Drosophila melanogaster: one gene and its partner. The protein of the gene in region 1 binds, or shares a complex with, the protein of each later gene. Each region holds a gene or a part of one and is shown on either strand. Other genes may lie near its edges.

Evidence for each region.
Region 2: Nup214 (region 1) and Nup54 share a complex: the UniProt entries of both Drosophila melanogaster proteins name them as parts of the nuclear pore complex.

What each region holds. Positions count from the first base shown.
Region 1 is NT_033778.4:22,918,739-22,926,304, forward strand, and holds Nup214 (nucleoporin 214kD), read right to left. Parts: upstream 6,005-7,566; 5' UTR 5,917-6,004; coding exon 5,881-5,916; intron 5,825-5,880; coding exon 5,686-5,824; intron 5,627-5,685; coding exon 3,894-5,626; intron 3,841-3,893; coding exon 3,659-3,840; intron 3,602-3,658; coding exon 3,260-3,601; intron 3,204-3,259; coding exon 2,008-3,203; intron 1,910-2,007; coding exon 427-1,909; intron 334-426; coding exon 309-333; 3' UTR 199-308; downstream 1-198. Other genes in the region: CG30187 (uncharacterized protein), read right to left, coding at 1-34. UniProt on the Drosophila melanogaster protein: Part of the nuclear pore complex. Serves as a docking site in the receptor-mediated import of substrates across the nuclear pore complex including emb, RanGAP and phosphorylated Mad. Protects mbo/Nup88 from proteasomal degradation at the nuclear pore.
Region 2 is NT_033778.4:12,427,921-12,432,815, reverse strand, and holds Nup54 (nucleoporin 54kD), read left to right. Parts: upstream 1-1,716; 5' UTR 1,717-1,879; coding exon 1,880-1,934; exon of another isoform or gene 1,935-1,956; coding exon of another isoform or gene 1,957-2,065; intron 2,066-2,126; coding exon of another isoform or gene 2,127-2,203; exon of another isoform or gene 2,204-2,221; intron 2,222-2,355; coding exon 2,356-2,862; intron 2,863-2,921; coding exon 2,922-3,288; intron 3,289-3,344; coding exon 3,345-3,906; intron 3,907-3,973; coding exon 3,974-4,315; 3' UTR 4,316-4,367; downstream 4,368-4,895. Other genes in the region: DUBAI (deubiquitinating apoptotic inhibitor), read left to right, coding at 1-473; CG43204 (uncharacterized protein), read right to left, coding at 1,957-2,065, 2,127-2,203. UniProt on the Drosophila melanogaster protein: Component of the nuclear pore complex (NPC), a complex required for the trafficking across the nuclear envelope. Essential for the nuclear import of nuclear localization signal (NLS)-containing proteins in an importin alpha/importin beta-dependent manner.

The DNA.
Region 1 (7,566 bases):
AAATGACGGGAATCCAAGCCAGACGTGTCTGCATCTCATGAGATGTTCGAATGAAATAGGTGATAACCTTAGCATGAGCATAATACCATAGCAAGTATTTCATAAAAAAAGAAACCCTTATCATACTAGACTATAAATACTAAATAAAGTTCAGTACACACATTTCGCGTGAAGTAAAAACACAGTTTTTTTTTTTTTAATTTTAATAAAGATTTAAGATTTAAGATTTTTAATTTTAACTGGTATTCTTATTTCATGAAAACTGAACAAGCAAAACTATTGAGTTATGCAACACATTTATTATGAACTCAACGATAATTCATAAAGCTCGATCTGAAATAGTAAAATTTAATATTTCGTTAGTCGTATGCATTCTTGGAAATACTTATATAAGTATGCATATGTATGTATGTCGGTCGAACTTACCCGCCAAACGCTGGTTTCTGTGCATTTGAGTTTCCAGTCTGTGCTAGATTTCCGAAAGAGAGTCCCGATTCCTGTCCCCCCAACGTTTCAAAAATGTTTCCCTGTGCCGGCTTTGCAGCAGCACCAAAGGGTGGAGGGGAGGCTACTGGGCTGGCACCGCCAAATCCACCGAAACCCTTCGGACTGCCAAAGGTGGCACCTCCCCCAAAAGTGGGGCTAGCTCCAAAGGCCGGGGATCCACCGAAAACGGGCTTGGCTCCAAACCCACCTGGTGTCGTAGTTTGCTGCTGCGGGGCTTGTGGTGAGCCAAAACCTGTCTGGGCCACAGATCCACCCCCGCCCTGGCCAAATCCACCACCGAAGCCCCCCTGAGCTGGTGTCGTCTGCGTGAAGGAGCCAAATCCACCAGAGCTGCTGCCACCCCCAAAGATCGATCCGCCAGATGCGGGCGGAGCTGTTGCTGGTGATCCGAAAATAGAGTTTCCTCCGCCACCAAAAGGAGAAGCTTGCGGACTGCCGACGGGATTGGAGAATATATTCCCACCTGCTGCCGGTGCAGCCGCTGATGATTGACCAAACACTTTTTGGCCAAAAATTGAAGTACTTCCTGCAGCCGGAGCGCCGACTGCGCCCTGCGTATTACCTCCTCCAAAAATTGAGCTGGATCCAAAAGGTGTACTGGCGGATCCGCCACCAAAAATAGATCCTCCGCTATCGCCTGCTTGTGCTGGTTGTCCAAAGACACTTGGCTTAACAGCCTGACCAAAAATGTTACCGCCAGAGGCTGGTGCTCTAGTCGTGGGACTACCAAACGGCGAAGGGTTACTAATCGCGGCCGATGCAAAGAGACCCGCTGGTGGTGCATCTGGTGTTGCCGCAGCCGTGGTGTTTGAAGGAGCAGTTGTAGCTCCTCCGAAAACGCTGGTCTCCGCCTTAGGTATACTGCCAAAAATGTTTGCACTCGAAACTGGACTTTTTGCAGCTGACTGAAAGGGACTAGCCACTGGAGCCGCTGTTGATGTTGCTACTGCGAAGCCACCACCAAACACTGAATTCGACGAGTTATTGCCTGTAGATGTAGCGGTTGGGCTTTTGGCAGCTAAGGGAGCTGAAGCGCTGGTAGTTGGAGCTGCAGCACCTCCCGCACTTAGGGTGCTAAATGCGTTTGAGAAGGAGAACGCACTGCCGGGAACAGCAGTGCTAGATGTTACCGTTGTGCTCGATGTTGCCGGAACTGCTGCGGTAACTGCCGCAGGAACTACTGCTGGACTAGACACAGTCGTCGTAGCAGTAGTAGTCGAAATGGCTGATGGGGTGGTTGAAATAGGATCAGTTTTGTTGTTCGCCTCCGTCACACTTGTGGGAGCTGTTGCCACTGGTTTGGTACTGCCGAATAATCCCTTTGAGGCATCAATCGTTCCGCCAAATGAAAAGCTACCAGCGGATAAACCTCCTCCAAAAATGTTGGCTGGTTTGGTGGTATCTGCAAAGTAAAAGACATATATAGCCGTTTAGAGTTTATGCCAAATAAGCGTATACATTTATGCGTAAGGTATATTGATAAAGGAAACTATAGCTTACCTGCAGGAGTGTTGGGCTTGCAGATAGTCACAGAGCTAAAGAGGCCTCCAATAGGATCCGTGCTGCTGGTCACTGCATTTGTTGTGGTGACGGAAGGAGCATCAGTTACGCTGCTCGAAGCAATTACATTCGTAGGCTTGCTGGTGATGGTGGTTGTGTTGCTAGTGACCGTGGTGATCGGTTCAGAGTTGGATGGTTTCGCCAAAGCTGCTGAGAAGATGCCAAATGGTGCAGTTGAAGCTGATGTGGCTACACTAGTGGTTGCTGTGCTGGAAGGTTCAGATTTTGGCACAGCAGCGGCTGTTCCTCCGAAGCCTAGAGATGAACCCAGTCCGCCAAAGCTGAACGGGGAGCTGGAAGTATTTCCGACAGTACCTCCAGTTCCTGTAAATCCTCCAAATCCAAAGGATTTGTTTTCCGTCTCTGCCTTTGGTTTTTGGGGTACTTTTGACTCTTCTGTTTCGGGTTGTACCGCCTTGAATTCTTTGCTTTCTGCTGCTTTCTGCTCTTTGGGCTTAGTCGGCTCGGGTGTTGGTTTTTCGACCGCTGACAACGGGTTTGGTTTTGGTGTAGGAGCTGCCACGGCTGGCGATCCTGTTCCGAATGAGAGTGCCGACTTGGCAGCACCACCACCAAAACTAAAGCTGGAAATAGTACTGCCGCCGAAAATGGATAAACCCGGCTTGGCTGCTTCGCCAGGAGTCACAGTATTTGTCGTTGGCGTCACAGTAGATGTCTTCACAAATGGGATGCTTTGGCTGAAGGAAAATGGCGTAGCCACTGGAGTTGTCGGATGTGTGGGCACTCCAGGCTTTTCCACAACGGACGGTATAGATGGCATTGGTTTAGGCAGCGGAGGAGCCACTGTAACAGTTGCTTGTGGCATGGGTGCAACAGCTGGCGTGGGTGCAACATCTGGTGGTGAAGGCGGAGCGACTGCTGCTTGGGTGTATTTGTTGGCTGTTGCAGGCTTGGCTGCTGCCCTTTTAATTTGCTCCGCCCTACGTTTCGTTTCCAAAATAACCTCCGACTTGAGCCCCACTCGATCTGGTCGCTGGGGACAAATAACATTGATCTTCTGCAGCTGAACAATATTACGGATTTTTTGTAGTCTTTCTCGAGTGAGCTTGGCTGCATTAGAGTCCACTACCTGGCTAAGACTCATCGTGAGAATGGAGTCGGTCAATGTATCCACTCTAAATAAAAAAGTTATAGTCGCATAAAGAGAGAGGTCACAATAACTTCTACTAACGCTTCGTTGGTGCGGGTGCGACTTTTCTCCTGGTCGAGCAGTGCGGCCTGAAGCAATCCGCGCTCCTTCAGTTTGGACTTGATGTTGTTCTGTACAATTCGCTGGTTAGAAGTTAGATTTTGTAGTCTTGTCAGTCGTTGATAGATTCCCTCTAGGCAAGGCATGTGCATGCGAGACTTCGAATTGCGCCGCACAACATCCTGAAACTGTTCCCACTGCAAATCGACATGCTGCTGGGCAAGACGCAGCTGGGCCTCATTGGCAGCCACGTAGCTCTGAAGACGAGCTAGCATGCGACGGCCAGAGGGATCACAGGAGCTTGAGTTCATTAAACGCGTAATCCTAAACGAAAATTACGGGTTTTAAATAGCTTATATATTCAAAGAGTCCTTTACCCACTCTGGTTTTCTATAAATCTCCAGTTTCCCGCGGCACTCTGCTACGATGGCATAGGCCTCATTAAGACCCTGTCGCAATCCCTGTACATCTAACTCGAACTCCACATCCTTGGCTTGTTCATTGAGCTCTTGGAGGTCATCCAGTCTCTTTGCGTATGCCCTCAAAGCAGATGGTGCTGCAATCTGCGGAATAACAACTTTAATACATGAAGCAGTGTAATACCAACACTACTTACGCCTTTGAGGAGTTCCTTCGTCTGTTCCTTTTGCTTTTGGATATCCTTGCTAAAGGCTTCGATTTGTAGGGCAATCATGTCCTTGATAATAGGCTCAGTGTCATCAGGCTTAAGACTTTCATCTGCGATTTGTGGAGGAGCTGAAGTGGCTGGTTTTGTGTCCACTGGTGTGAATGTTAAAGGAACCGTGTACAGTGGTTTGTTTGCTGGAGCAGAAGCAGGAGTTGCGGGTACTGTTGACCCAGGTGCCGCTGTTCGGGGTGTCACACTGGCAATAGCCGGTTTATTCAATGCCATTCCCCCAAAGGCATTTGCTCCTGAAGCCGAAAACATGCTTCCCATGGCAGTAGTCGTTGCCTGCGTGCCAAACCCACCAAACGGTGTTGTTGGCTTGGCTGCATTGGTAGTTGGAGCACCAAACGAAACCGGACTAGAAGTCGGAGCAGTACCAAAAGATAGTTGCGGAGCAGGTGCCTTAGCTGCAGCTGCTCCAAAGCCAGAAAACAATGATGGTTGCTTATCCTTCGAGGGAGCTGGGGTTGAAGTAACGGTATTCGGTGTAAATGCAAAGGATATGTCCGAGGAAGCAGCAGGAGTTGCAGCTGGAGCCTTGGAGGGACTGGCTGCCCAAGCTGGCTGCTCTTCTTCCTCACTAGCAAGCAGCATATTCAACGGCTTGAACTGCCCAGAAGTATCGGCCACTGGAGGAGGTGGCGAACAAACAGACACCGCCGTCGGCAGCACATTAAGAAAGTTGAACGAGAGCAATTCTCCATCCGAACTCAAAACATGAACCATGGGCATAGTCTGCAGCTTCTTCTCATTTATCGTCAGCTGGTGCGTTGTAGAAGTGTCGAAGGCAAAGCCCAGCGGGAAGGTCTCATCCTTGTCCTCACTTAGGGGCATTTCAATGCGTGCCTCATCCAGCAATGTAAGCTGCTGCCAAGCGGGTGTATCGCCGGCCTCGGTTGACCGCATGATGCCCACCTCTACGCCATTGGCCGAGACTACGAGCAGCAGATTCCACTGGGGCACATGGCTAAATACGAACTGATGATTCCTCGGGCCGTTCATGCTATAGCAGATGTCATAGTAGTTTATGTAGCTGGGCGCACCAGCCTTGGGAGCATTTAGAATGTAAAGCGAGGGGCTACAGTCCTCGCCATGCTGGAGAAAGATCACTGCAAACTGGAAAGTCGACAGCCACTGTATAGCAATGGTGTCAAAGGGGGCATCATGTATATTCGGAGGACACAAAAGCGTCTTGGCCAGAGTCAGATCCGGCTTGAACTGCTTCACCGTGCCGCCGGGAAAACCAAGAACGATCTGTTTGCCCTTGGGCGACCAGCAGCCGCACTTAACTTGTTGATTTTTGTCCAGCGAGTGCATTTCAAAGTTTCCCCCCTCCTTCAGGGCATACATCGCGAGCGCTCCGTTGCTCAAAACAACGGCCAGGCTGTTGGGCAGCACGGGATTCCAGAGGAGCTGGACGCCGTGCACGTGATCCTCGGCGGCGAGGCGAATATTATAAACAGGACGTACATCAGGGGTCATGAACGATAGCACCGCATATATGCTGAGCAGGCTGGTGCCGTTCTGGGTGTGATTCACGGCCAGCAGGTTGCCATCGGAGCTGCAGGCAATGTAATTCGGAATACTGGGCAGTGGCACCAGACGCGCCTGCGGCTGTTGGGCTGTGCTCTTCGCATTGACCAAATCCTTTACAATAATCACTGCAAGGAGTGCCAGGATAAATTTATATATTTAGCCTAGCTAACTCAAGCTACATTACCTTTGAGTTCCGGCTGCGTTGGACTCCCGGCAAAGAGCAATCCCCGGCTACTGGAGACCGCCAGCAGGTTCACATTGCTGCGGGGCTCACCGCATTTTTTGAACGCAACAATCTTGTGGTGCAGTTTGAATTGAAAGTCCTGCGACCAAAACCAATGGAATGTTTGACATCTCAGTGCTATGCAATTGTGCTTACCTGCGTGTCCTCGCAGTCTGGTGCATTCTGCGCCATTTTTGTCTGTTTTCGCTCCTATTTCGCCAAATTTTTTGCGGCTTGTCGATTTCCCAATCGAGTCGATGGTGTGGCTGCAAGTTGAGATCGTTGGAAACGTTGGCAAGCAAAAAGCGCGCCACTTGCAGTACGGTCACTTTCAGGAAACTCACCACAAAAACTCACCACCAAAAAATCCAACAACATATACAATACAATCTGATTTAAATTTCATAGATGTTCCTTTAAAAAGAAAATGGGATAAAATCTTATATAAAAATAGTTTTCTCCTATAACTAACTGATGAACTTGTTAACTAAAAGAAACCAACTTAGCTTGAATTAAGTATTCACCAATCTTGTCTTAGCGGTTGACCATATGGCAATTGCACTTTGTTGGTATTTTTTCAGACGGTATTTTGTTTTGGACAGTATGTGCGAGAACGAAAATTTCAGCACATCGCTAGCGCAGCAGCCTTGTTGTTGTTCGTCTGTCTCTGTCCTACAAGCGTTTCTTTTTGTTTGCTGAGAATTAAACAAAAGCGATTTGTTCGCGGGCAATGCGAATGCATTTGCAAAGCAGGGCACAAAGCATCGGCTGTTTCGACTGTGATTGCACAAAGCCATGTAGTAGAGGTCGAGCTGGCGATTCGCAATTATCCACAGGCGACGCAACACGGTGCTAAAAATTGCGTAGCCAATTAATCTCGAAATCCTTCGAATTCAATCGCAGTTACCAAAAAGTAAATGAAATTTAAATCGACTTAAACAGAAATCTGTGGATTTTATTTCGATATTGCCCATAAAGTACCCCAAATCACATAATTTACGGAAAAGTCAAGGAAATTCCAGGTGAAAATTGGGGTTGGAAAGGAGGCCAGGATAACGGAGTGGACTCTAATTAAATACCCTACAGTTTTCCCCTAGAGCAGCCAGGCGACGCTCAAGATGATCAGCAGCCTGTTTTCGCGGCTTATAATGTGAGTAATAACCGATTACTACTATAGCAAATCCCGACTTCATAGCCACCGCAAGTGAGTGTGAGTGCGAGTGAGAGCGCTACAGCTGCTGACCCCCAAAAAAAAACAAAACTAACTTTTCAAGCTCGGCCTTCGAAAGCGAGAAAAGCACCTACGAAGCCCGTCGTCGTTTCCTAATTGTGTGGGCGTCACGCTTCTGATTTCTAAGTTTTATACATTTCCGTGGTTCCTCGATTCGCTGATTGCCGGATTGTTTGTTTATTAATCAGCTGTCGCAAAGTACCGTTCACTTGTGCGCGAGTGTGCGCGGCCTGTGTGTGTAACCCTCGATTGAACTCCTAATTTGGAGTTGCAACTTTCCAAGCTTCTGCGTCTCTGTGTTCCCGAGGCCGACGCACTCGCCTCGCCCGATTTGGGTGCAGAACATGTGGATATAGCCTGTCGGCGACCCGGCGACTCTCTGTGACTCCGCTATTGTTGTCAATATTTATAGATCGCAACTCGACGCTTGCCCATAGTGTGGCACAGTCGCGGCCAAGTAGCTAGCACCTCATTTGTTCAAGCACACAATACCTCCGTTAGCATTTTCCATTATGTCAATACATCTTAACTTCGAACTAGACTTTACTTTTGATAATGAAATTAGTAATCGGTTCAAATCAATAACTAACATCATAGTCAAGATATATAGT
Region 2 (4,895 bases), about 10 Mb from region 1:
ACTACTTTACGTTCGCGGCGGATCAAGCCAAGAATTGGTACAAGTTCAACGATAACGTGGTTACCCACTCCAAGCCGGAGGAGATGCACAATCTCACTTCGCCCAACACGCCCTACATCCTGTTCTACAAGATGTGCGGCCACTCCAATGAGTCTAATTCGGTTACGGCCAGCTGCAGTTCGAGTATGGTATCGGGCTCAAATGACCAGGTGGTCTCGGTGCCACTGTCGCCGCCTCTGAAGCTGGAGGAGTTGCCACGCCGACTTCGCGACTACGTAAGAAAGGACAACCATGTTTACAACGAAGAGTTGAAGATGCAACGCTTTAAGCGTGGCAACAGCGGTCACGGCAATGCGTTTGTCAGCCGGCACAACTTTGATGGCGATGGTGACGAGGACGACAAGGCGCCGCCGCCGCCCGGAGGATGTGGAGGCAATGGACTGGGCATGAACATCAACCGCTTCGTCTTCTGAGAAAGCGACAGCCAGGATAGCGAGCACACCGGAGGCCACTAGAACATATACTTGTCTACTTTATGAAACACGCGCATACTAATCGAAATGTTACATACATATATATATAGCACGTTCACAACCAATCGAGATATATGCGCCTACGTATATCGAAGTGTATGAGAAACGCGCTTACCGATCGCTTGTTCGCTACCTCCTTGAGTTGTTGTCGATGTTTTCTAAATTGTTTCTTCCTTTTCTCCTTGATCCTTCGGCCCGTTGCCCCAAAAATCATTATACTCATCCACTCATACGAACGCAAACTATTATTGTATTTCCATTTACAAAATTGTTATAATTTTTTTGTTTTTGTTAACACAAACCTAGTTGTAGAACGTGCATATATGCGAACACAAACATATTTAATTATAAAAATTAAAAAAAAAAAAAAACAATAGAATTAGCCAGAAATAGGAGCGATATACTTGAATCCGAAGACCACTAACTTCCAAAACACTAAACCAGAAATAATGTCTGCACCCTAGTTTTTAACGCACAGCTCGAAATTAAATCATATCTCGAGTTGCAATCGAACTAGCAAGAAGCTACAAAACAAGATAATCGCGGCATTGACTTGTATAGATCGAGATCGTTTATAGATCGGGCTATAACCCTCGGATCGTATTATTAGTTTCACTGTTAATTTTAGCAAATTTCAAAAAATTTGCGCATGTGCGACACGAATTTGTAATTGATATATATAAATGTATCTCTTTGGATCTGGTGAGCAGAGGTTGCGATGAATTTTGAACGTTATTGCAATTAAATTGGAATAATTTCAAGGAAATTTGTATATGGTGTATGTCTATTGATAACCAAAATCTATACTATGCTATGCTATAAGTGTATCAATAAAGAAAAGAACAAGCCCAAAGAGTGTTTAATTATTAGAGTCACGAAAGAGTTTAATGTGAAAACAACAAAAATAGTATCCATTCATGGAAGTTACTATATCAAAAAGAAAAGCAATGATCAGAAAGGAGGATATTATATTCAGTTCAAACATTAGAGAGGAGGCGTAAACTAGAATTAAAAACTTGACAGGATTATTGAAGTGGCGAATTGATTTTCTTGCCGCCAAATTTCAAATTATAGCGTACTAATAATCAAAAGTCGGGCCTAAGACTATCGATAATTTAGACCGCGCGGCAGTGTTACCAAATTAATAAGGGAAATTCAAGTGTTGTTGTCAGCAAGGGTGAGAGCCCATTTACAATCTGGTAACACTGCTAGAAAGCGCCAAAATTTTACGTTTATTAGGATTAAGACTAATTTTATTACAATAAAATAGAATTGTACAAATTCCGGCCCCTAGGAAAGGCAACCCAAACTGTGCGGCAAAGTAACGTCCTTGAGAATACCGCATCATGTCGTTCTTCGGATCCAACACGTCGCTGGGAGCAACAAGCACGCCGGCCAAAAGTGAGTTTCCGTAAACAAGACCTCATGCCCTTTTCTCCAAATATTTGTGGGGTCCATTTCCACTTGGTGGAGGCTTCAGCAGCTTCTTGGCGTCCTGCAGGCTGTGGATGCGGATGTCTTTGGGATCTATGCTGGATGTGGGACGGGCTACATGGTGTCAGTGTTCTTATGTGGCCAGACAAAGATGCTCACCCCTTCTTGTGGACCACATAGGCGACGTATCCCACAAAACCTAGCAGGAGGATCAGCAATATAAAAACCAGAGCCATTTTCCACGACCAGCAGGCGACCAGAGCTTGAAGCAAACTAAGGGCAGCTTCTGTAGTATTTTGGAACCCGAAATCTCAGATAAGAATCCAAGGCAGAAGCATAGTTTTCAAAACACTGACCCATTTCTGGTCTTCTTATCTCTTTTGTTCAGCAACCGGTGGCCTCTTCGGATCGCCGTTTGGAGGCACAGCTGCAACCAGCCAGCCAGCACCCGCTTTCGGAGCACAGGCCACATCGACTCCGGCTTTTGGCGCCCAACCGGCGACTTCTGCCTTCGGAGCAGGTTCCGCCTTTGGAGCAACCGCTGCAGCCCCGGCTTTTGGAGCCGCCACAGGAACTTCTGCCTTTGGCGGCTCCGCCTTTGGCAGTACTCCGGCATTTGGTGCGGCGACAACCACAACTGCGGGCACGGGTTTGGGAGGAGGCGGTTTCGGCGGATTTGGAGCAGCTCCGGCAACAAGTCAGGCCGGTCTGTTCGGCGCTCCAGCGACTAGTGCAGCACCACCAGCTTTTAGCGGATTCGGCCAACAGGCAGCTGCGAGTACAGCGCCAGCAAGTGGATTTTCAGGCTTTGGCACAACCACAACGTCGGCACCTGCTTTTGGTGGCTTTGGCACCAGCCAGTCCACTGGCTTTGGGGGCGGAGCCTTCGGATCCAGTAAGTTAAATAAGCCCATTTGTCTTTCTGTGGTATTCCTAACCTGGTTTATGTTTCAGCGTTCGGAAAACCAGCGAATACAACAGTTACGCCGGGATTTGGTGGATTCGGAGGCACCAGTTTTATGCTTGGACAGCCGCAACAGCAGCCAGCGCCCATATCGGCTGACGAGGCGTTTGCCCAATCCATTCTGAATGTATCCATTTTCGGGGATGAACGGGACAAAATAGTGGCCAAATGGAACTACTTGCAGGCTACGTGGGGCACTGGGAAAATGTTTTACTCCCAGAGTGCGGCACCGGTAGACATTACGCCGGAGAACGTGATGTGCCGGTTCAAGGCCATAGGCTACAGTCGTATGCCGGGCAAGGATAACAAGTTGGGACTGGTGGCTCTTAACTTCTGCAGAGAACTCTCAGCTGTCAAGTAAGTCTTAGTGCTTGTCTACATCATGGCATAGGTATTAATTCATTTTATTTTAGGCCACACCAGCAACAAGTGATTCAAACGCTTCACAGTTTATTCGGCAGCAAGCCCAACATGCTTGTTCACATAGATTCCATCAAGGAGTTGGAGAACAAAAAGTGCCAAATTGTTATTTATGTCGAGGAGAAACTTCAACATGCTCCCAACGAAAGCAAGCGTATACTTGCCACCGAACTCTCAAACTACCTTAATCAGGCGACGCTGAAACCACAGCTCAATAATCTAGGTGTTGTGGAGGCTTTGGCTCTGGTATTACCCGACGAAGATCAATTGAGGGAGTACCTTGAAAATCCACCCCGCGGCGTGGATCCGCGCATGTGGCGTCAGGCCAATTCCGACAATCCAGATCCAACTTTATATATACCAGTGCCCATGGTGGGCTTTAACGACTTAAAGTGGCGCGTTAAGTGTCAGGAACAAGAAACGGACACGCATGCATTGTACATAAAGAAGGTGGAGAGTGAGCTGACAGAACTCAAGAAGCGCCATGCCACTGCCACAGCGAAGATACTTGAACATAAACGGAAACTGGCCGAGCTCAGTCATCGCATACTAAGGGTAGGGACACCTAGTTAAATACCCAACTTTATTTTTACATTCAGAAATCCGCATTTTTCAACCACAGATAATAGTGAAACAAGAGTGCACCCGCAAGGTGGGCACTTCCCTGACGCCCGAGGAGGAGGCCTTGCGCACCAAGCTACAGAACATGCTGGCTGTCGTCTCCGCACCCACCCAATTCAAGGGCCGACTCAGCGAGCTCCTCTCCCAGATGCGCATGCAGCGCAATCAATTCGCAGCCAACGGTGGTGCCGAGTATGCCCTCGACAAGGAAGCGGAGGACGAGATGAAGACCTTTCTGACGATGCAGCAGCGCGCCATGGAGGTGCTGAGCGATACCGTCAACAAGGACCTGAGGGCGCTGGATGTTATAATTAAAGGACTGCCCGAGCTGCGACAATCGTGATAGGAATGGAAATGAGCTGATACGTTGAATAAAACCCACATATGTGTAACACAACCCGGTGATTTTCGATGATCGAGACAACGAACAAGTTGTGGCCGTTACACTTTTGCCATTATGTCGTCGTTTAGCATTTCCTGTAGCTTTGAACTTGCACTTTTACGGGCAATGGAGTCGAAACAATCGAAACGAGTTCACACATTCGTCGCCAATGCTGCGGAAATAATTGTGTGGGTCAATGCACTTGCACCGCACAGCTCTTGGACCGCCCGACTTTTCCTCGGCCACTGTCTGAAATTGTCCAATTTCGACGGCTAGGCAGAAGGCAATCGCTCGGACTCATTATGAGTGGCAAACGGTTCGTCTCTGGCAGTTCCAGTTTGTTCAACTCCCAGCATCGGTATCACCATCGTTGTTACATTAACATTATTATGTGCTCTGGCGTGTGCATACATGTGCAGTCTAGTTAGTTGGCTCGTTACATATTTATTTCTTGTGTGGGAAACTAGTTTTCTCCCAGTCAACCAGCCAGCCAGGGTCCGTGCAGGTTTTTTGTTGGCCATTGATGGCGGAGACTTCCGAG